Callithrix jacchus: one gene and its partners. The protein of the gene in region 1 interacts with the protein of each later gene in a biochemical or structural test. Links are inferred from orthologs where the notes say so. Each region holds a gene or a part of one and is shown on either strand. Other genes may lie near its edges. The genes, in order: MAPKAPK2, ZFP36L1, HSPB1 and ZFP36.

Evidence for each region.
Region 2: of the proteins of MAPKAPK2 (region 1) and ZFP36L1, one has a biochemical effect on the other in vitro, tested with the Homo sapiens proteins (2 studies listed by BioGRID). The link is inferred for Callithrix jacchus from reciprocal best matches to the Homo sapiens genes MAPKAPK2 and ZFP36L1.
Region 3: of the proteins of MAPKAPK2 (region 1) and HSPB1, one has a biochemical effect on the other in vitro, tested with the Homo sapiens proteins (17 studies listed by BioGRID and IntAct, with this or other methods). The link is inferred for Callithrix jacchus from reciprocal best matches to the Homo sapiens genes MAPKAPK2 and HSPB1.
Region 4: of the proteins of MAPKAPK2 (region 1) and ZFP36, one has a biochemical effect on the other in vitro, tested with the Homo sapiens proteins (2 studies listed by BioGRID). The link is inferred for Callithrix jacchus from reciprocal best matches to the Homo sapiens genes MAPKAPK2 and ZFP36.

Annotation. Positions count from the first base shown.
Region 1 is NC_133520.1:34,222,807-34,228,625, forward strand, and holds the start of MAPKAPK2 (MAP kinase-activated protein kinase 2), read left to right. Parts: upstream 1-1,863; 5' UTR 1,864-1,949; coding exon 1,950-2,264; intron 2,265-3,598; coding exon 3,599-3,738; intron 3,739-3,923; coding exon 3,924-3,988; intron 3,989-4,240; coding exon 4,241-4,320; intron 4,321-4,797; coding exon 4,798-4,924; intron 4,925-5,501; coding exon 5,502-5,577; intron 5,578-5,819. UniProt on the Homo sapiens protein: Stress-activated serine/threonine-protein kinase involved in cytokine production, endocytosis, reorganization of the cytoskeleton, cell migration, cell cycle control, chromatin remodeling, DNA damage response and transcriptional regulation.
Region 2 is NC_133509.1:103,772,634-103,778,472, reverse strand, and holds the start of ZFP36L1 (mRNA decay activator protein ZFP36L1), read left to right. Parts: upstream 1-1,954; 5' UTR 1,955-2,077; coding exon 2,078-2,134; intron 2,135-2,291; exon of another isoform or gene 2,292-3,280; intron 3,281-3,979; exon of another isoform or gene 3,980-4,323; intron 4,324-4,468; coding exon 4,469-5,428; 3' UTR 5,429-5,839. UniProt on the Homo sapiens protein: Zinc-finger RNA-binding protein that destabilizes several cytoplasmic AU-rich element (ARE)-containing mRNA transcripts by promoting their poly(A) tail removal or deadenylation, and hence provide a mechanism for attenuating protein synthesis.
Region 3 is NC_133503.1:11,063,371-11,068,508, reverse strand, and holds HSPB1 (heat shock protein beta-1), read right to left. Parts: upstream 2,918-5,138; 5' UTR 2,878-2,917; coding exon 2,514-2,877; exon of another isoform or gene 2,073-2,513; intron 1,831-2,072; coding exon 1,767-1,830; intron 1,656-1,766; coding exon 1,466-1,655; 3' UTR 1,346-1,465; downstream 1-1,345. UniProt on the Homo sapiens protein: Small heat shock protein which functions as a molecular chaperone probably maintaining denatured proteins in a folding-competent state. Plays a role in stress resistance and actin organization.
Region 4 is NC_133523.1:34,892,104-34,898,026, reverse strand, and holds ZFP36 (mRNA decay activator protein ZFP36), read right to left. Parts: upstream 4,069-5,923; 5' UTR 4,030-4,068; coding exon 3,988-4,029; intron 3,191-3,987; coding exon 2,234-3,190; 3' UTR 1,531-2,233; downstream 1-1,530. Other genes in the region: uncharacterized protein LOC144580767, read left to right, coding at 1,056-1,425. UniProt on the Homo sapiens protein: Zinc-finger RNA-binding protein that destabilizes several cytoplasmic AU-rich element (ARE)-containing mRNA transcripts by promoting their poly(A) tail removal or deadenylation, and hence provide a mechanism for attenuating protein synthesis.

The DNA of each region.
Region 1 (5,819 bases):
GGTTGGGGAGATAAGGCATAAATATGCAAAATGGTAATTTTTTTTGAAAGTGAAAAGTACCCTATAGAGAGTTTTTGAAGCATCTTCAAGGATATCGTTTTATGAAGTTGAATCCAATTTTATAGATGAGGAGACACTTTTCAGGAAGATAGATGACCTTGCCTGACACAAGCTAGGAAGTGCAGAACCGGGATTCAAAATGCATATGATTCCAAAGCCCAGGTTCACTGTGCTGCATCTGTCTGTCTCCTCTAATGGGAAGAGATTTTGTGCAAGTCTGGAAGTGCAATGTGGACCCAGCCCTTCTTGCTGCAGAGACTCCTTTGCCTTGTGCCATGCACTCTTAACGTGTCTAGGGCAGAAAGCATGGAACTTGCAGTGGGCTCTGGGAGTTCAGGGGGTGTCCGGGAGCACGCATTTGGGTTTGGACCTTGGTGCATCCCACTTAGCACAGCTCTGGTTGGCAGATGTCCTGGTGGTGGTCACTGGGCTGAAGACAGAAACCCAGCTTACACTCTTGCTTGTAACTCGTACTGGTTACATCCACATGCTCCAGGCTCAACTCAGTGGTGACAGAGGGACCTCCCTCTATCGTGGCACTAATGGTACTGGTTGACAGTGATGAATGCCTTTCTGATAACAATGCATTTTTAGAGATATTATTTCATTAAATGCTCATGATGTTTCTGTGAGTGGAGGCTAGGCAGATATCACTCCTAAATGCCTGTGGCACAGGCTCTGAAAGGTAGACCTCTGTGAGGCTGTGCAAGAAGAAATTGACAAATTTCAGACCTGGCCAAGTCTTCCCCAGCTGTAACTCTACAACCACGCATTGCCTCTGAGTAAATTTGACGACTTGATTCTTCTCTGAGCTCCAGTTCCTGTGTGCCTGTAGGGGGTGATAGAGGTTGTGTCTGCTTAGCTGCTCTGGAAACCTTGTTCCTGAACCCTTGGGAATTTAGCACTCTTACAGCATGTAATCTCACAGGATTTTCTGTGTCTCCCCTCACATTTTCTGACCCCCCACTAACCTAGGCTCTTCCAGATCAGGATTCCACTATTTGGTTTTGACATTCAGTGCAATCAATGTATGACCCATAATAGGAACTCAGAAAATGCTTGTTGGATTGAATTATATACAAAGGAAATTGGCCAGTGCCTTCTCCTGCTCCTCTTAGAGCATGTGAAAGTAAACTTTTTTCCTGGTACATCCAAATATATGAAGTTGAAGAATGGGTGAAGTGGCTCACGCCTCTAATTCCAGCACTTTGGAAGGCCAAGGCGGGGTATCACTTGAGACCAGAAGTTTGAGGCCAGCCTGGCCAACATGGTGAAACCCTGTCTGCTAAAAGTACCAAAAAATTAGCCAGACATGGTGGCTCACACCTGTAATCCCAGCTACTCAGGAGGCTGAGGTGGGAGAATTGCTTGAACCTGGGATGGGGAGGTTGCAGTGAGCCAAGATTGTGCCACTGCACTACAGCCTGGGCAACAGAGCGAGATCCTGTTTCAAAAATTTTAAAAAGCCCAAATGAAGTTGAAAGTAGCAGAACTCAAGACCCATGCGGTGTCCTCAGATGGCCACAAGGTGGCAGTGTGACCTCATAGGAATCTTGACTCCTGCAACTATTGGCTCCAGCCAACCATGACTCCATGGGAGAGACCCAGTTATCTTGTGCTTGATTCCCTCTAGACACCTGATGGGGAATGGCCTCTGCAAAGTCAGTCTGAGAAGTCTTGGTTTCCAGCCTCCTCTAAAAGCTGGGTGGTATGGTGGAAAGACTTGGTCTTTGGAGTGTACCAGGCCTGGATTCCAGCCTTGGCTCTGCCTTTTCTCAGAAATGTAGCCTTGGGCATGCTACTTTCCCGAGCTTTAGCTTCCTCATCCTGTAAAATGTCAAATGTTGTACAGTTAGGAAAAGCCCAGCACATCATGGGCCATAGCATAAATGTATGCCAGCCTTACTCTTGGAAATGCTTGTTTGCCCTTCCCTGCCATCTGCCATCTCCATCTTGGCCATCTGATCTTATCTGCAAGCTTCAGACACTTTGTGGCAGGTTCTCCCCCTCCCTGTTGTATCATCACAGCTCCACTCCATCTCAGTCAGTCAGCACCTGCTTCCCACGTTTCTTCCCGCCTGGATGCCTTCCCTCTGCCTGTCCATTTTCTTCCTAGCCTGTCTCCTGGACACCCTAGCCCTCTGCTTGTCCAAAGCAGCTGGAGTGTGGACTGCATCTTGACTTCCTATGAAGATGCTAGATCTGTGAGTGTCCTTGTCTTAATTATTTTGGCACCTGTGCTTGCACTTAGCAGACAATCGGTGATAAAAATGACAGCTGTTAGTAAGCACACGTCAGGCACTCTGTGAGGTGTTTTGTGGAAATATTCATTTAATCCTTATAACAAATCTGTGAAACAGAAGCCATTATCCCCACTTTACAAAGGAAGGGTAGATCAGGATGCTTTTGGCCCCAAGCAATAAAAATTTTCATGAAAAGCAGCTTAAACAGTAAGAAAAATTTATTATCTTGTCAGAAAGAAGTCATGAGGTATCCTTGGTGATGTCAGCAAGGATCCAGGTGGTTGCCATCTCTCCTGGTGGCCTTCCTCAGTACACTGGTTTATCCTCTTAGGCCCCCCTTACTGGTCATGATGTGCTTGTCATGGCCCCAGGTGCCGTAAACAGGAGAGATGATATAGGTTTCTTGTGCTCCCTTTAAGAAGCCTCTTAGCAGATTATTACAAAGATCTTGGTCAGTTGAGTTGTAGGCTTGCTCCTGAGCGAGTCACTAGCAAAGGGATTGGAATTAATGAGACTGGCTTAGACAAGTCAAGATTGAACTCCTGAGGCTGGTGAGGAGCCAGCCTCCTTTAACACCCCCAGCCAACTGGTCCAGGGAGAAGAAGGGGCATCAGTGAGGCTCAGCGAGTTGTTACTTGCTCAAGCTTGCTGATCCAGTAATAACTGGATCCATTTAATTAAATGGATGGGACCCAGGTCTTGTTCTGGGCTCACTGGCATAGAAGAAGCTTTCAAAGCATGTTCAGAGTGTCTGTCAAATTAAATGGATTCAAACCAGTGTCTGGCTGACTTCCAAGGCCATCTGTTGCTGGGTTGAAGTCAGCCACAGAGGTAGAGAGACCATCGCTCTGGATTTGGTGTGCTGGGTCTGAGTAATTGCGGAGGTACCTTTTCCTATGGACTTTGAAGTCTCTCCTCTCTCTAGCCCCCTTTCCAATGCCGTCTTGGTTTTTCTCAGTCTGCCTTTCTCCCCCTAACCCTTTCACCCCCTGCTTCCCAGTACCTGACTGCTGCTTGCCTTCTAGAGTAGACATCATGGCCTAAGCTGGACTAAATGGTCCAAGGGCTGATCTCAGTGTAGTTGTCAAGGCCCCAAGAGGGTCATGGTGAGATTTCATAGAGAGCAGATAAGGAACTGCAGAGGCCTCAGGAAATGTGCCGGGGGCTGGAAGGGAGGGGCCAGCGGGAGTGGGGGCTTTCTGGTGTGTTGGTGGTGATGCCAGGGCATGTGGGCCGGGGGCTTAGAGTAGGCCCACGTGAGAGTGCAGTTCCTCAGGAAGTTGTTTGGCCTGCAGATGCTTCAGGACTGCCCCAAGGCCCGCAGGGAGGTGGAGCTGCACTGGCGGGCCTCCCAGTGCCCGCACATCGTGCGGATCGTGGATGTCTATGAGAATCTGTACGCAGGGAGGAAGTGCCTGCTGATTGTCATGGAATGGTAAGCAGCCACTGTTCTGGTCCCTGCCCAGCTTGTCCCCACTCCCCACCCAGGTGCCTTGCCCTCTGAGGACAGCCCAGGCATGGGCCTGAAGCCTGGAATGTCAGCACTTGATTTCTTTTGGGGGCAGTGGAGAGTGGCGGCAGGATGCGGTGTTCTCCGATCTCACTGTGGCTTTGTTTCAGTTTGGACGGTGGAGAACTCTTTAGCCGAATCCAGGACCGAGGAGATCAGGCGTTCACAGAAAGAGGTAGAAATGATCTGCTGTGGGAACAGGTGCAGGCAGGCAGGGCAGTGGAGGTCTGAAGGGGCCTTTACCCCATCCAGCATGCTGCAAGGAGTGCCTCAACTGACCAGGGCAGCTCCTGGTGGCTTTGTTTCTGGGGTGGGTGGTGGCTGTGGGGAGCCTCAGGCTGCACAGAGGTGGGACTGACTGGGCTTTCAAGTCTAATGATGTGTCTTCGTGACTTTCTTTTCACTCCCCCTTCCCTCCCCTCTACAGAAGCATCCGAAATCATGAAGAGCATTGGTGAGGCCATCCAGTATCTGCACTCAATCAACATTGCCCATCGGGATGTCAAGGTGCCAGCTGTTCACAGCCCTGAGCCCGAGTACTGTGGGGTCAGCAGGGGGCCTGTGCCACCCTGGGGATGGTTGCCAGGCCACCCTGCATCCTTGCTGCCTGGTTCCTGAGCATGCCATTCTCTGCCCTATCTGCCCATGGGCAAACCCATAAGCCCAGTAGTGAAACATTCTCTGGCCACATTCAGCCCTGTGGTTCTCCTCAGGCAGAATCTCATAGACACACTCTTGGTTTCTCCGTCCCTGTGGTGTTTACTGCGGGTTCTGTGTGTCAGTCTCTCATCTCCAGGCAGTCTGGTAACCCTGCGGACGCAGACACCTGCCCATAGAGAGCTGCCGCTCCTTGTGGTGGACAGTGCCCTGGATAGGAAAATGGTTGCTGGATGAGCAGAGGAAGGAAGGAACCAGGACCCATTTGGTTTCTGACAGCCCCTCCCAGGTCCAACAGGGTTGCTATTTTTCTGTCTCTCTCTGTAGCCTGAGAATCTCTTATACACCTCCAAAAGGCCCAACGCCATCCTGAAACTCACAGACTTTGGCTTTGCCAAGGAAACCACCAGCCACAACTCTTTGACCACTCCTTGTTATACGCCATACTATGTGGGTAAGTCCACAGGAGGCCCAGGGACCTAGGCTTTTCCCAGAACTTTTCTCAGCCCCCTCCTTTTGGCTGTGTCGGGGGCCGCAGAGCCTAGGAGAGTTATGTCTGTATGGCCCCTTCTGGTGCTGGTTCTGCTGGGACCTGCTGAGAAGCAGGGCTTGTTAGAGCAAAACTACAGTGGAGGAAGTGTAGAGAAGGCTCTGCCAGGAGCTTTTTGAGAAGAGCCATGGTTTCCATCAGATTCTCAGTGGCGTCTGGGACCCAGGTCTTGTTCTGGGCTCACTGGCATAGAGGAAGCTTTCAAAGCATGTTCAGAGTGTCTGTCAAATTAAATGGATGGCATGAGACTAAAAGCAGTCCAGGATTTTTACAATCTTAAGATCCTAGTTCCAGGGTTCCTCGTGGAGGGGGGCATCTGTTCCAGTCCTGGGGCTGTGCTTCGGCTCTTCCTCCTGCGCCCAGCTGCTGCCACCTCATGACAGGCTGAAAGGCTGGGAGGGGGAGCATCTTTCACAGAGAAACTGAGTGGATTGCAGGGTTCTGAGAGCCGGGCCCACCCATGTTGACCTTTGGTTTACAGCTCCAGAAGTGCTGGGCCCAGAGAAGTATGACAAGTCCTGTGACATGTGGTCCCTGGGTGTCATCATGTACATCCTGTGAGTGTGCTGGAAAGGGGACTGGGTGGGGCTGGGAGTCAGGGCAGGCTGTACCTCTCCAGGTCAAGAGGAAGAGGCAGATGTTGGCATTCCATTTGGACAGGGGAGTCCCCTGCGTGCCCCTTCTCTCAGTTCCCATAGCTAAGTGGCATTGTAAACCAGCTCATGGGTGCCTTAGATACTTGCTATGCTGGATTCCTGGGCCCTGTCCTTGACTTTGTATGTTATGCCTGTTCAGTGAG
Region 2 (5,839 bases), on another chromosome or scaffold:
GAGCAGGGGAAGAGAAGCAACAGGCGGCTGGAGAGCAGCAGTAGAACAGGCGAGGGGCAGCAGCCGGGTTAAAGTGGGGGCCATCAATTTCAGGCAGAGGAGACAAATGAAAGCCGATCCCGCTGGGATCACGTAGGTTCCGGCTGCAGCAAAAGTTGTGTTTCGCAAAGTTGAAAACAACCGGTTTCTCAAACAGTTGTGATTTGGAAGGTTTCGCTGGGTTTGCCCAGAGGTTGACGAATAAATAAAAAATGCAGTTAAAAAAAAAATATATGTGTGTGTGTGTTGGGGGTGGTGAGAGTGTGACTCGAGCGCTCTCTTCGGCCCGCCCCGTCCTTTCCAAAGAAACGTGTTCATAATGGGGTGACCTAATTACATCGCAATGGAACTCAATCTTAGCCACTCGGCAGCACCGGATTTCATAACAGACTCGGCGGCCTAGAGTGCTGCGAAGAAACGTGCGAGGGCCGAGGGGGCGGCGAGGCCCGCGTGGAAATCGGAAAGAAGTGCGGCCCTGCGACTTCCGCCTGGGTCATCACGCCAGCACCCGGGCAAAGGCGCAAGGGGCGGGTAGGGGACACGTTAACTTTATATTTGGGTGGGTGGCATCCAAACATAACAGTAAATATATATTTTATCATTTTCAAGGGAGTCATGCTCCATTGCGGGCCCTTAGCTTTCCTGGCTCCCATGTCCGCCTCCCCACCTCCCGCCAAAACGGCACAGCGTGACAAGCCATATGTTCCACTTTCCCGTGGGGGCGAGAGAAGCAACAATAAAAGTGCCGCCTCCGTCCACCTTTTTACCTTCCTTCTTATCAAAGTAAACTTTTTTCATTGTTCTAGAGTCTGGAGGTGTGTGTGGGGAGGATGGAGGAGGAGGGAGTGTTGTGGCGCCGCCCAGACTTCAGGGCGCGCGTGGAAAGTAGTGAGTTGCTTGGTGGGCTTTTTCTGGGAGGAAAGGGCATTCAGGAAGGATTAGGGTTTTCTTTACCAAAAGTTTAAAGATTGGATGCGTGAAAAGAAACGCCACGCCTAGGCCTGGTAAAACAAACAATCGGCCCGGGCTGTAATCTTTTTTTGCGACGCCCCCCACCCGCCCACACCCGGAGAGCGCCGGCTGCAAAGCGAGCGCGAGTGTGGACGCGTGCGGCGCGCTAAACTGCCGCGCTCGCGCCCGCCAGGCCGTGTCCTCCTGGGGAAAAAGTTTCCCTAGTCCCCCCCCCGCCCCCGGCACCGCGCCCCACCCTACGCCCCGCTGGAAAAAAAAACATAAAACCCTAGACTTGAACGTTCTGTGCGTCCCAAATTTCTACTGTACTCGGCCTGCGGGGTTTGCGGAGGGAAGCCGAGTGCGTAAGAGAAGTCGGGAAAAGGTAAGTTGTGCAGACACTTGGGGAAGTTTCAAGGGGACCACCGGCTCAACATGTAAACCGCGGCCCGGGCGCTAAGGACGGGCTTCAGCTCCTGCTGGCAAAAAGAGAAAGTCGAGCCCGCCTTCCTGCCCAACAAAAAACAACAACACCACAACAAGAACCCCGGAGGGAGTGGAATGAGTGACGTCAGAGCCGCGCTCGGAGGCTGACAAAGGAGGGGGCGCGCCCCTCCCGCTTTGCGCCCGCGCGGTCCCGGAGAGGGGCGCTTGAAGCGCTGGGTAGCCAAGTCAGCCGACTCGAAACTTCTTCTTTAAGAAAAAAAAAAGGTTGTGAGCGGCTCGGAGTGGGGTTTTTTTTTTCCGCCTTCTTTTCTTGTCTCCCCTCCCCCTTCTTCCTTTTGAAAGTTTCTTCTCCTCCCCTCCCCCGCCCCGCCTGACCGCATGGCTGATTCAACTCCAGTGTCAATCAACTTCTTTTTCCTCCTCTTCCTCATTTAAATAAGTTTAAAGCTCCTCCTTTCCCGGCCCACCAAATCTGAAACTTTATAAATCGGGCTTTGCGCGCCGCAGCTCCGGAGTCAGAAAGGCGAGGGGCGCTGGGAACTGGCGTGTGGGACTCCAGACCCGAAAGGCTGCGCCTTCCCCTCACCGGGACCTTCGAGACACACCAGATCCTCGCCGCTGGCCCGCGCGAGCGCACAGGATGACCACCACCCTAGTGTCTGCCACCATCTTCGACTTGAGCGAAGTTTTATGCAAGGTAAAGTGGGGCGGAGCATTTGCTTTTCAAAAACTTTTTCTTTTGCTTCAAAAAAGAACCCCCAAAAGTTTGGGTCTCGGAAGGCAGTGGGGAAGGTGGTGCAGCGAGATGATTTTTTTCTCCCAAGTTTGAAGGAATTTGGCCCCGTCCTTCTCACCTTTTGAGTTTCAACCGTTTCTGGCGGGGTCTACGGGCGAATCCGGAGGCTAGAGTTTTGAGGGGCGACGTTTGCTTGGCGAGGCAGCCCGGGGGCCTTGGGAGGAGGGCTGGGATTGGGGCAAGTTTGGGGCGATTCTTTTTTACGTAACGTGCTGTTGGTCTGATGGGTTCCCAGTGTGCGCCCTAGATCTGTCCAGCAGCATTGCTGACCCTTGGGATTGGGAGTGGGAGATCCCTCGGGGAAGTGAGTCTCTGGACGACGTTTTCCTCCCCTTTTGGGGGAGCTGGGGATATGCGAGGAAGAAGGAGGCCAAGTTGTGATTCAAAAAGATGTTGCAGAACAAGTTTGCAGTGGTGCTGGAGTCCGCCCTAGCTCCGTTGGGCTTCTTCCTGCGATAGCCGATCGTGCAGCAAACTTTGGGGTGAAAGAGGCATTGGAGTTGACCTGCTTACCTGTGTTGCCGAGTCGTTGCGGCTGGTCAATTTTTGGTGGCGGGTGGCAGAGGGGAGGGCGGCAAAATGCTGGCTTGAACTCTAGAGTCCCGGGAGTAAGGATTTAATGGGGGCCTCCTTAAAACATGTTGCTTGCCAGCCAGTGTTGAAAAAGCAAGTTCTAAAGTCGGAGTGTTCCAGGACTGCGGTTTAAACGTACATAGCAGAAGCCAATGGATGTTGTTAAATTTCTTTCCAACCTCCTCCTCCCAATTTAAAAGGGCGAAGCTGCTGGGCTGCTTTTAATTGCTGAAGTGTTTTTACCTTCTCTTAACACGTCGGGTCATGTTGCTCTGTTTTCCCAGCTTGCTGCTCCTGTTGGTGCAGTTGCCAAGGCCCCAGGGCTGCAGGGTTGGGGTGCAGGGACGCCGAGGAGCTGAAGAGTAACATTTTTAAAGTTTGAATTTTTCAGCTTCCTTTCCTCCCTGCATATTCCCAAACTCCACTTGCCGGCCTGGCTGCCAGAGCTACCCAACACTTCTTCCTTCTTTTCCCGACTCTCCCGCTCTTTGATCTATTTTTTTCTTTGGCCCCCTCCCCCCTCAGGGGAGGTTTTTAAATGAATGAGGGTTTTAAATGAACCTCATTGTTGGGAACCAGCTCTCGACTGGGTTCCTGTAATCCTCTCGGTGGGGTGGTTGCAGTTACAGATTCGCGATCCCCACCCCCCCCCCCACTGAGCCTAAAGGACCAACATTAGAATTTGCAAAATGACACCCACATGGGCTGGGAACTAACTCCTAGGTACCCGACCTGCACCCTTTCCAAATCTTGGGTACAATTTGGGCAGGTGATCAGGATCCCATTGGACCAGAAACCTGCCGTTGGTGGCTCTGCCCCCATCCCCACCACCCCCAATCTGCTATTGACTGGGAGATGGGTAGGGGGGTTGGTGCTTTCCTTTTCTTTCCATCTGCAGCTTTGCTTAAAGATTAAACACTGGCGCTCTTATCCAAGCCTGCTCCTGCAGCCAGAAGACTAATTGCAAAGGCATCTTCACAGTGAAGGGGGACGGGATGGGCTGGGCATGAGTGGGAATTGTGAGAGAGATCATTGTGGAAAATACCTCTTCCGGGAACTTAGGGCAATGAGTTTTATTTTCAGGAATCACTTCCCTGTCTCCCCCAACCTCAGACCAGGCTCCCAAGCTCCTCCCCACAAGAAAAAGCAAAGGCAGTCTGAAAACCTGTTGCCAAAGGAAGGAGGAAGTTGAGTCCTCTTAGGCTGGGTTTTGAGGGAGGGGGTATCAATTAAGCAGGGACTGATTAGAAGGGGACCTAACCTAGCCTATAACAGTCTCCTCTCAGATTTACCTGTTTTGTTAGGGGAGGGTAATCTGGAGAGGTCTGGGTTGTTTGAGATATTTTGAGTTGGAGAAACTATTTGGGCAGTAAGGAAGTTGAACTTTACAGATTAAAGTGGTAGCTTTGGGGACAGAGGATATGGGGGTTGCACTGCAGGAGTCGGCATGGAGCAGGGTGCTTGTCACACAGTCTGGATTTTGTGGTTTCTTATGCATGGGGCCAAAATAAACCCAGGTGAATGGTCTATAGGAGGGAGAGAGGGAAGGGGGCTTGCTAGAGCAAAGGTGGAGATGGGTTATTTGAGACAGGCGGCGTTTGTGATTGTGGAGAGGGCTGTAGATGTCTTCCATCCTTACCATCCTTTCTCTTCTCTCTCCAGGGTAACAAGATGCTCAACTACAGTGCACCCAGTGCAGGGGGCTGCCTGCTGGACAGAAAGGCAGTGGGCACCCCTGCTGGTGGGGGCTTCCCTCGGAGGCACTCCGTCACCCTGCCCAGCTCCAAGTTCCACCAGAACCAGCTCCTCAGCAGCCTCAAGAGTGAGCCAGCCCCCGCTCTGAGCTCTCGGGACAGCCGCTTCCGAGACCGCTCCTTCTCGGAAGGGGGCGAGCGGCTGCTCCCTACCCAGAAGCAGCCCGGGAGCGGCCAGGTCAACTCCAGCCGCTACAAGACGGAGCTGTGCCGCCCCTTCGAGGAAAACGGTGCCTGTAAGTACGGGGACAAGTGTCAGTTCGCACACGGCATCCACGAGCTCCGCAGCCTGACCCGCCACCCCAAGTACAAGACGGAGCTGTGCCGCACCTTCCACACCATCGGCTTTTGCCCCTATGGGCCCCGCTGCCACTTCATCCACAACGCAGAAGAGCGCCGTGCCCTGGCCGGGGCCCGGGACCTCTCCGCTGACCGTCCCCGCCTCCAGCATAGCTTTAGCTTTGCTGGGTTTCCCAGTGCCGCTGCCACCGCCGCTGCCACCGGGCTGCTGGACAGCCCCACGTCCATCACCCCACCCCCCATCCTGAGCGCCGATGACCTCCTGGGCTCACCTACCCTGCCCGATGGCACCAATAACCCTTTTGCCTTCTCCAGCCAGGAGCTGGCAAGCCTCTTTGCCCCTAGCATGGGGCTCCCCGGGGGTGGCTCCCCGACCACCTTCCTCTTCCGGCCCATGTCCGAGTCCCCTCACATGTTTGACTCTCCCCCCAGCCCTCAGGATTCTCTCTCGGACCAGGAGGGCTACCTGAGCAGCTCCAGCAGCAGCCACAGTGGCTCAGACTCCCCGACCTTGGACAACTCAAGACGCCTGCCCATCTTCAGCAGACTTTCCATCTCAGATGACTAAGCCAGGGTAGGGAGGGACCTCCTGCCTACTCCAACCCCTACCCTGCACCCACACCCCATACCCTCTTCTCCCTACCCATCTGATTCCCCACAAGTCCTACATTAACAAAGTTAAGCTCAACCCCTTTCCCCCAGCACCTCAGAATGTCCCCTCCCTCTCCCCATCATTACCCCACCTAACATAAGGACAAGTCAATTTGTCAGTAGCTTCTTCTGGCTTGAAACCCCCTCCCTGGATTTTATAGCCCACTTATCACGCATAACAGACAAGTCCCATATTTTGTCAGTAGATGCCTCTTTTTTTTTTTTTCTGGCTTAAGCCTTAAGTGCCAAATCACAAAAGAAAAAGCAGTAACAGTTTACAGAAGCAACTTAGTGCCTTGTAATCTAACTTTGTCACTGTGACTACATT
Region 3 (5,138 bases), on another chromosome or scaffold:
ACAGCTTTCCCTGGGCCTGGTTAGAGGGTGGCAGCTAGGGCAAGGGCAGACAACAGAGGAACTGGGCCCATGGAGGCCTGGCTACACCGGGAGGGAGGCCAACTGAAAATAAACACAGGCAACAAGAATCGCTGGCAGAGCCAGCAGCACAGGTCTGAGCGCGTCGGCCAGGGTGCTACCCAATCTCCCCACCCAGAGACTGCGGGCTCCGTTCTCACCCCAGTTCTGCCTGCCAGTTCCCTTGTGACTGCCAACAGGGATGCCCTGGCCTCAGGGGGTGTGGCAGTGACGACCTCAAAGCTTACCAGGTCCACTGTGGTGCCCTTGGGTGCGCCGAAGCCGAAGCCAAGCTTCTGACGCAGTAATCTCTGCGGGGAGGTGCAATTACCCCCGTGCCCCTTCACCTGGGCCCCAGCCTCGCCGACCGTGAAAACTCAAGCCTCAGGTGCTTCCCATTTCCTCCGCTTCCACACCTTACAGTTTTAATTGCAACCATGACCTTGCAATCACGACCTTTTTTTTTTTTCTTTTAAAGACAAGGTCTCACTCTTTCTGAGTTTTTAGTTATTTATTGAGACGATCTTGCTCTGTTGCCCAGGCTGGAATGCAAAGGCACAATCTTAGCTCACTGCACGCTTCAACTCCTGGGCTCAAGCAATCTTCCAGCCTCAGTCTCCTGAGTAGCTGGGACTACAGGTGTGCAATAACACCCCTGGCTAATTTTTATTTCTGTTATTTTATTATTTTTTTTTTTTGAGACAGTCTTGCTCTGTCACCCAGGCTGGAGTGCAGTGGCACAATCTCGGCTCACCACAACCTCTGCCTCCCAGGTTCAAGTGATTCTCCTGTCTTAGCCTCCTGAGTAGCTGACATTACAGGCATATGCTACTACGCCTGGCTAATTTTTGTATTTTTGGTAGAGATGGGGTTTCAGCATGTTGGTCAGGCTGGTCTCGAACTCCTGACCTCATGACCTGCTCCCCTCAGCCTCCCAAAGTGCTGGGATTACAGGCATGAGCCACTGCAACTGGCTTTTTATTTTTAAGAGATAGGGTCTCACTGTGTTGTCCAGGCTGGTCTTGAACTCTCAGCTTCAAGCAATCCTCCTGCCTCAACTTACCAAAGTGCTGGTATTGCAGGTCTGAGCCACAATGCCGGGCAATAGGACCTCTCTGTCTTTATGGATGTGAATTAGCCTGTGCCTAGCAACCTACACGGGAGTACCCACATGGCCCAGCACGGGGCTGTGCACCCAGCACACCCTGAGCAAAGGTGGCTAGTGTAAGCCAGGGAATGGCAGGTGCCCGAAGCTTCCTTCCACAAACACCAGGGTCTGAGCCAGTGACAGGTGGGTTGCTTCAAACTTTATTTGAGAAAAACAAATAAACGTATCAAAAGAACACACAGGTGGGGGGGGAGGCATGGCCAGTGGCGGCGGCACGGGTGGGCATCCGGGCTAAGGCTTTTACTTGGCTGCAGACTGGTCAGATTTCGCAGCTTCTGGGCCCCCAAGCTGGGCCCGCGACTCGAAGGTGACAGGGATGGTGATCTCGTTGGACTGTGTGGCTGGCTTGGGCATGGGGGCCTCAACGGTCAGTGTGCCCTCAGGGGACAGGGAGGAGGAGACCTGGGTGGGGTCCACACCAGGGGGCAGCCTGGACGTGCAGAGAGGGAATGTGAACGTTACATTACACTTCGGGTGGGTCCCTGTGCCCTCCTCCCTAGCCCCCGGCACCCACCCACCCCGACCTGGCGGCAGGACTCACGAGTATTTCCGGGTGAAGCAGCGGGAGATGAATCCGTGCTCATCCTGCCGCTCCTCGTGCTTGCCTTCGGGGGACAGGAAAATCAGAATGAGGGAAAGGGGACCGACTCTCGGCCCCGCCAGGCCAGAGGCCCCACCTCCAGCTTGGAGGCAGCCAGGACTGCAGGCTGGCAGGGATTAACAGAGGAGACTGGGGGTGGGGGCGTGCCGGCCTGTCCGGGCTCTCAGAAACTTCCGGAAAGTTCGAGTAAGAGTTTTGGGAGGAACGGAGCAGGGTGCCGAGGGGCGGAGGGAGCAACGCGCAGGCGCACTGGGAGGAGCACGCACGCCCCTCGCGCGGCTAGGGACAGGGACCACGCCAGGGGACCCGCTTATCTGCGGATGGGGCTGCGGGTGGGGAGAGAGTTCCGTGGAAAGAAGCATTTCTTCACCGATGATCTTTTAAAACATTTTTGGTTGCTTTTTAATTTTCTTGTAGTTGGTAGGGGGGGAGGTCTCGCTATATTGCCCAGGCTAGTCTTGAACTCCTGGCCTCCGCCTCCCAAGGCGCTGAGATAACAGAGCAGAAAGCGACCTTAGAAGCGACCTGCACTCCCGATTCCTGAGCAGGGGAATCACGGACGGATCCCGTTTTTCCCGGTGCTGGGCTAACTTTTAACTCCCCAGGCCCGGGGTTTCAACCGCACCCCCGGGCCCCGCCCTCCCCGCTAGCCTCCTCCCCTCCCCTGCAGGGCCAGGGGGTGCTCACCGGTGATCTCCACCACGCCATCCTTGGTCTTGACCGTCAGCTCCTCGGGGGCGAAGTGGTTGACGTCCAGGGACACGCGCCAGCGGTCCGCCGTGTGCCGGATCTCCGAGACCCCGCTGCTGAGCTGCCGGCTGAGCGCGCGGCTGTAGGCGGGCGCGGCCACTGCGGGGCCCTCGACCGCGGCGGGGGGCAGGGGGCGCACGTAGCCCGGCCAGCTGCTGGTGCCGAACCACTGCGACCACTCCTCGGGCAGCCGGGGCATCCCGAATGCCTGGTCGAAGAGACGGTTGTGCGGGTACCAGTCGCGGAAGGGGTCCCAGCTGGGGCTCCGCAGGAGCGAGAAGGGGACGCGGCGCTCGGTCATGCTGGCTGGCTCTGCCCGGGACGTCTGCTCGGAGAAGTGCGGGCCGCGGTGCTGGGTCGCGCTTTTATGTGCCTCCGGTTGGGTATTTTTAGCAGGCGGTGTTTGAGGTCTCTATTAATGGAAATGACCCGTTTGGGACCGCCTCTCCCCATGCACCCCTCCCCCCCATCCGCAGAGTTCAGGGGGCCGTGGGCGGGGCGAAGAGGGTTCTGCCCCAATCTGGAACCTTCTCTCGTTAAGGAAAACAAATGAGTTCGAGAGTGCGACGCTGGAGACGTGCCACACTAGGGCACTCGGAGGCCCTGGTGCTTCAGCGCTGGCGGGTGTGGCCGGCGGCCAGGCCAGTCCTTTTGTTAAGCAGGACAGCGCCAGACAGGTTGGGCTGGGGCAAACAGCTGGGAAGTGGCAGAGGCAGGGTTGGAACCACAAGGCTGTGTGTGGAATGTGATGTAAAGCAGTCTGGTGCTTGAGTCCAGGAGTTCGAGGCTGTAGTGAGCTATGTTCTCACCGCCGCACTCCAGCCTAGGCAACAGAGCAAGGCCCTGTCTCAAAAAAATAAAAAGGGGCTGGGTGCATGGCTCATGCCTGTAATCGGCACTTTGGGAGGCCAAGGCAGGAAGGATGGATCCCTTGAGGCCGGGAGTTTGAGACCATTCTGGGCAACATGGTGAGACCTCACCTCTACCAAAAAATGTTTAAAAATTAGCTGGATGGCTGGGCGTGGTGGCTCACGCCTATAATCCCAGCACTTTGGGAGGCCGAGGCGGGTGGATCACGAGGTCAAGAGATCGAGACCATCCTGGTCAACAAGGTGAAACCCCGTCCCTACTAAAAATACAAATATTAGCTGGGCATGGTGGTGCGTGCCTGTAGTCCCAGCTACTCGGGAGGCTGAGGCAGGAGAATTGCTTGAACCCAGGAGGCGGAGGTTGCAGTGAGCCGAGATCGTGCCATTGCACTCCAGTCTGGGTAACAAGAGCGAAACTCCATCTCAAAAAAAAAAAAAAAAAAAAAAGGAATCTGACAATCTGTGTGGTTGCAAGGTGTGTGGGCTTTGGGAGGTTAAGGTGGGAGGATTACTTGAAGCAAGGAATTTGTGACCAGCCTGGGCAACACAGTGAGACCCCATTTCTACTAAAATTCAAAACAAATTAGCTGGGGATGGTGGCGTGCATCTGTAGTTCCAGCTACTCAGAAGGCTGAGGTGGGAGGATCATTTGAGCCCAGGAGGCTGCAGTGAGCCTGATTGTGCCACTGCACTCCAGTCTGCATAACAGAACAAGACCCTGTTTCTTTTCCTTTTTTTTTTTCTTAAGAGGGGGTTTCACCATGTTGATCAGGCTGGTCTTGATCTCCCGACCTCAGGTGATCCGCCCGCCTTGGCCTCCAAAGTGCTTGGATTACAGGCATGAGCCACCACACCTGGCCCACCCTGTTTCAAAAAACAAAACAAAAAATTATATTACTGTGGTTTTGTTGATTTATATTTTTTAAATTTGAGATGGAGTTTTGCTCTTTTGCATACCCAGTCTGGAATGCATAAGCAGGATCTCAGCTCACCGCAACCTCTGCCTCAAGGGTTCAAATGATTCTCCTGCCTCAGCCTCCTGAGTAGCTGGGATTACAGGCATGAGCCACCATGCCTGGCTAATTTTGTGTTTTTAGTAGAGATGGGTTTTCTCCATGTTGGTCAAATTGGTCTCGAACTTCTGACCTGAGGTGATCCACCTGCCTCAGCCTCCCAAAGTCCTGGGATTACAGGCATGAGCCACTACGCCCTACCACTGTGTTCTTACTGTACGTCTTCTATGTTTATTTGTAATTTTTTTGAGATGGAGTCTCCCTCTGTCACCCAGGCTGGAGTGCAGTGGCCCAATCTCGGCTCACTGCAACCTCTGCCTCCTGGGTTCAAGCGATTCTCCTGCCTCAGCCTCCCGAGTAGCTCAGACTACAGACATGTGCCACGACACCACCTAATTTTTGTACTTTTAGTAAAGACAGGGTTTCACCATGTTGGCCAGGCTGGTCTGGAACCCCTAACCTCAAGTAATCCACCTGCCTTGGCCTCCCAAAGTGGTGGGCTGACAGGTGTGAGCCACCGCGCGGCTGTCTTCTGTGTTTAGAAACGCTGCTACTTACCATCATGTTGCAGCCACCTCTAATATGTGGTGCAGTCATGTGCTGTAGAGGTTTGTAACCTAGGAGGGGGAGGCTAAACCGGACGGCTTAGGACCTAAGTGCACTCCGAGGTGTTCCCACAA
Region 4 (5,923 bases), on another chromosome or scaffold:
AGGAAGGACCAGCGATGCCTTTTTTTTGTTCTTTCCGTGACCAAGGCTCTGTTTCTGCGAATGTCTCTGCCTGCTTGCTCCTGCTCTTGCTCTCTGCCCCTCCTACGCCCTTGCATCGCAGGGGTTCTGGCTCTCTCTCTCCTGATCCTCTTCTACTTATCAGGGCCTGAGCCCTTTCCCACAAGGGAGGCAGTTTCCTAGAAGAGGAGACCAAAGGTCAGTGGGCCAGGGGAGAAGGCCAAGGAGGCGTGAGAGCAGGAGGGAGGCTTGAGGAGGGGAGAGAGAAGGGAGAGGAGGGAAGGGGCTGGAGAGGGAGAAAAGAGGAGGAGGACTAAGACTGAGGGGAGGAGGGGGAGAGAACAATGGGGAGTGAGAGGGCAAGGAAAGGGTGGAGAGGGAAGGAAGGACAGAAAAAGGGAGAGAAGGGAGACAGGAAGGAGGAGAAAGGAGGTAAGAGACGGCAGGATGGGGAGGCTAGAAGTGGGAGAGAGGAGTAATGAGGCAGGGGACGAGTTGGAGGGTGTAGAGAAGAACTGAAGGCAAAGGGTGTAGGGCGGGGCAGGAGGGTGCAGAGGAGGAAGTGAGAAGGAGGAGGAGGGGTGAGGGTAGGGAAAGGAGAGCAAAGGGAAGCGGGAGGGAGGGGGAGGGGAGAGGGGGGCAAGGAGAAAAAAGAGGGGCAGCGGGGGGCGAAGGCTGGACGGCGGGGCAAAGCCGCAGGCGCTGACGCAGGGCGGCTTCCGGGCGCGGGGCGCTGGGCCCCGGGGCTGGTCCCGACGTCGCTGGCCTTGTATGGTCCGGAGACGCGGTTCCTCCGGGGCCCCTCCTAGACACGCGGCCCCTATTACCCACACACCCTGGCCTCGCGGGGCCAACCACGGTGGGTGTCCGAGGCCTCGGGCCTCCAAGGTTCGGAAATACCAAGATCTGGTAATTCCTGGGCTCCAGGGTCCCGGGTGGCCAGAAACCCGCAACTCCGAGCCACCAGGGTTCCAGAGTCTAAAGCGCCAGGGGACTCAACCTGAGACTCCTAAATGTAGAGATCCTAGACTCTTGAGACCCTAAAACCCGCTTCCTCCCAACATCCCAAAGGCGTCGAAGCCCCCCAGGAACCCCGAGTCCCGAAACGGGTTCCGTTACCCCAGGCTGCCCCGCCCCGCGCCCGCCCCCGCTCGCCCTGGGCGCGCGCCCCAGCACATTCCGTCCTCTCCACCCGGCCCCTCCCGCCTCCCGCGGCCCGGTGGGGACGGAAACATCCCGTACCCGCTCGCGCGCGCCCGCCGGAGAGCTGGGTCAAGGAGTTCGGCAAGACCGGAGCGCGGTGCCCCGACGCCCGGGAACTGGCTCCCCCAGTTCTCATCTGGTGACCTCACCTGGTCACACCCTTTCAGGTGAACGGCCAGGCCTGGTGACGTCACTTCCTGCCAGGTAAGCGCCGCGGGGCTGGGAGGAGCAGAGCTGACTGGTTCCAAAAAGTCAACCCCTTCCCTCCCCATTCTTGTCTCTAGACCGCGAAGAAGCGAGGATCCCAGCTTACACGCAGATTCCGTTTATTTAAAAATTTTCAAAAACACAAAAATAGACTTTTAAGGTAACAATATATATTACTAAATATATTATAGTCTACTTATAATAATTATACCGTCGTTTCCAATATTACAAAAAAAGAGGAAGAAAAATACGAGGGAAGCAGACGACCCAATATATATAAATACTATAAAATCATATTAGAATAAATAAAGTCGTCATAAATAAAGACCCACTGATTCATGGGTAGGGTTTGGCATCAGCTTTGGCTACTTGCTTTTGGAGGGTAATTTGAGCACCAGGATCCCCCTCAGGGGAGGTTCCAGTTACCAGGAGACTCTGGAACCTCAGATCTCTAAAAACTGGAGGGGCAGAGAAGGCCTATTATTCACAGCACGTAAGATTCCAGGAGACAGATTTGCGCAGGGAAGAGGTGGGGAGAGGGTTCATTGCCTCCCTTAAATATGCTACATTTTTTTTTAAGAACCTCAGAAGACACTCCATCCCCCACTATGAATACTGAGCTTGCACACTTGGGGACCTGCCCCAGCTTGAGGTCAGGGGAGTGGGTTAATGCATTCTGGAAAAGGGGGTTACTTGATTACTGTCCCCCAAGTCTCCACAGCCCTGGGTCCATGCAAAGACCACAGTGCAAGAGATGTGGCTTCCCCCGTGAGATCCAACTGATCTGGCGGGGCAGAGTCACTTGTCATTCAGAAACAGAGATGCGATTGAAAATGGGGAGTCGCCGGGGGGCTGCCGTGGGCTGGGGTGGTGCAAAAATCCCCGCCTCGAAGACTGGAGAGTCAGAGCCCCCCAAGCTGCTGCCGCTGCTGGCGTATTCATCAGGGTCAGATCCCAGGGATTGTACAGAGGGGCTTCGAACCAGGCCACCCAAGGCCCCCCCCCAGACGCTCATAGGGGTGGCCCTTCGGCAGGAGGGGCAACAGACCGGGGTGGGGTCTCTTCGAGCCACAGGGGTACCAGGGGCAGCAGAGAAGGCAGAGGGTGACAGTGGAAGGTCCCCAGGTGGTGGCGGGGAGCTGGAGGGCGAGAAGGAGCAGGACAGGGAAGGGCCAGCCAGGCCTGGCGGTGGTGGTGAGGTCCGGCGGCCGGAGGGCAGGCCAGAGAAACTGATGCTCTGGCGAAGCACAGGAGGGTGGCCCGGGGCTGCCAGGTCTTCGCTGGGGTTGTGGATGAAGTGGCAGCGAGAGCCGTAGGGGCAGCGGCCCTGGAGGTAGAACTTGTGGCAGAGTTCCGTCTTGTACTTGGGGTGGCGATTGGCTTGGCGCAGCTCGCCCAGGCCATGGGCAAACTGGCATTTGGCCCCATAGCGGCAGCGCCCACTCTCTGAGAAGGTCCGACACAGCTCAGTCTTGTAGCGGGAGGAGGTGGTGGGGGTGGCTGTGGGCGAGGTGGGTGAGGGTGACAGCTCGGGGCCCAGGTGGGGAGCCAGCGGTGCGAAGCCAGGGGGTGGGGGCACCCAGCCAAAGCTGCGGCCCTCCACCAGGCTGGTGGAGCGGCCAGGCAGGCGAGAGATGACCCCAGACGGGCTGGAGTCAGAGGGGCTCAGGCTCCAGAGTCCCGAGGAGCCCCAGCCTGGGCTGGACTCAGTCTCTCCGTGGTCAGATGGCACGGGCGCATCAGCGTTCAGCGACAGGAGGCTCTGCGGAAATGGGTCGGTTAAGGCACCCGAATATGCAGGGCGACGCCCCACCCCAGCTGCAGGGATCAAGAGCTTGCCAGGCCGGTTTGTGGGCTCCCGGCCTGAGCCCCACCCGCTCGCAGAAACTCCCAGGTTCCAGATGCCAGGAACCCAGATTTGGAGATTCCGAGTTTACCCCCGACCGAGGCATTATCCCGAGGGACCCAGGAATTCCTGTTTCACCGGCTGGACCAAGAGGGGTCCCCGAAGTCAGAGCGCACCCCTGTTTCCCAATTTTGAGTCTCTGGACCTCCCCGGATATGACCCACACGTCGGGATCTCCAGTTTCACAACTGGAGGAACCGGGCAAAGTTGACCCAGGAGTCCGGATCGCTTTGGTTTTAGGGTTTTCAGAGAACTACGGTCAGGGACTGGAGAGACGTAAGTCGGATCCCCCCACCCTAAGACTTCAGCCCCAGACACGCCTCCGCGCAAAACCACGCCCTCAGCAACCACTAGGGATGAGCCAGGTATGGGGGCCACTTCCGCCTCCAGGCAGCCTCGGTGTGAGAAAAGTTCTCCGACTTTCCACTTTCCCGGGCCGCCCCACCCATGTTTGAGCCAAGACCCGGGAGACCAGAGCTCCATTTCACCTCCAAATCACCAAGCGGGTCTTGAGAGTAGAAGGCAGGGGCGCCGAACTGGCGCACTAGGGGGCCCCAGTTGGAGAAGGGAGGCAAGCTCCAGTCCCGGGCCGGAGCTTGCAGCTCTAGAGAGCTGGGAGTCAGGCGTGCAGGTGCCGAGTGGCGGGGACTCACCTCGTAGATGGCGGTGAGATCCATGGTGTAGCGGTTGGCCATGAGGAAGTCGGCCAAGTGTGGGAGCGCTGAAGTCAGGCTGAGGCTGGCAGGGAGAGCCAGAGTCTTATAGACGGCTTGGGGCGGGGCCGGGGGCGGGGCAGGAGGGGCGCTTCCCGGACGCGCGCCCCTGGCGCAGCCTGGCTGGCCCTGGACTGGTTCCCTTCCGCCCGGCCCTGGGCCAGGACGCGCCTGAGTTTGGCCGGTGGACAGCCGCGACCGGGCGGGGAGTGCGTGGGGCAGGGGTGGGAGTCGAGGTGGGGGTGCGGATGGCGGGGCGCCTGCCGAGTTTTCAGAGCTGGAGACTGAGGCTTGTAGAAGGGAACTGGGACGGAGGTGGGGGCAGGGCTCCAGGGGCAATTGACAAGGGCAGAGGCCCGATGGGGCGTGTGCGTGCGACACAGAAGAACGGGGGCGACGAGAGACACGCAGAGGGGTACAGACAGACAGGGAGAGAGGCAGAGAGAAAAACATCAACAGAGACCCAGAGAAGGATAGAGAGGGTGAGGAGGGGAGGGAAGGTGGGGAGAGAGAGAAAGTCCCAGAGACAGATTCAGAGGGAGAAGAGGGTTGGGAGAATCACAGAAACAAACCGAAAGGGGCTGAACGAGTGGCTCACGCCTGTGATCACAGCACTTTTTGTGTTTTTCTTTCTTTCTCTCTCTCTCTCTCTCTTTCTGTGTTGCTCAGGCCGATCTCGGGCTCCTGAGCTCTAGTGATCCTCCCACCGCGGCCTCCCAAACAGCTGGAATTACAGTTGTGAGCCGCCAAACTCTGCCAATCCCAGCAATTTGAGAGGGTGAGGCAGGTGGATTATCTGAGATCAGGAGTTTGAAGTCAGCTTGGGCAACAGCGAGATCCCATCTCTATAAAATGTATTATTAAAAAAAAAAAAAAAAAGATGACACCTGTTGTCATTGAGAAAAATAAAGAAGGAAGGAAAGACTGGACACAAAAGGAGAAAGACTATGAGAAACAAGCACTTAAAGAAAGAAATCTGTAGAACAAAGCCCCAGGAAAGAACCAGCAGGCCTTGGAGAAGAATTCTCCAAGAACTGCCTGCCTTGGGTGGTCTCACTCCCAAAAAGCCCAGACAGATAAGGAGGCTGGGACCGCCCTCCCGATCACCACTTGCTGGGATTGGGTGAGTGAGTGAGTGGGTTGGGGTCCAGGACACCTGGTGAAGCTGAAAAGGGGCCTCCTTTCCCAATTAACAGGGCGCCTCTAGCCCTTCACTTTCAGGCAGATAATCTGTTCTTCTGGGCTGATCATTGTTCTAAGTGCTTTAAGTATGTGCAGTAACCCTAACAAGCCAGGTGATGTGCCCATTTAATGCAGGAGGAAACCATAGTCAAGTTACTCTTCCGCCTGGCTCACACCTGTAGCCCCAGCACTGTGGGTGTCGGAGGTGGGAGGATCACCAGGGCTCAGGAGTTAGAGACCAGCCTGGGCTACATAGCGAATCCCGATTTCTACAAAACATACACAAAATTAGCTGGGTGTGGTGCACATCTGTGGTCCCACTACTGGGCAGGGGGAGGGGGCAGGCTGAGGTGGGAGAATCGCTTGATCCAGGAGGTGAAGGTTGCACTGAGCTGAGACTGGGGGTTTTTTTTCCAGGGGGATAAAAATGTTACTCTTCTAGTTCGAGCTACCAAATGGCAGAGGCCTCATACCAGGGCCTGAAATTATGTTGAGGTTTGCCCTCTAGGAAAACTCAAGCTTGGAAAGGTGGAGGTCTTTTATTATAATGGAGAGTTGCATTGATTGAAAGCTGTTTTGTTTTTTTGTTTTTTTTTTTTTTTGAGACGGAGTTTGGCTCTTGTTACCCAGGCTGGAGTGCAATGGCGCGATCTTGGCTCACCACAACCTCTGCCTCCTGGGTTCAGGCAATTCT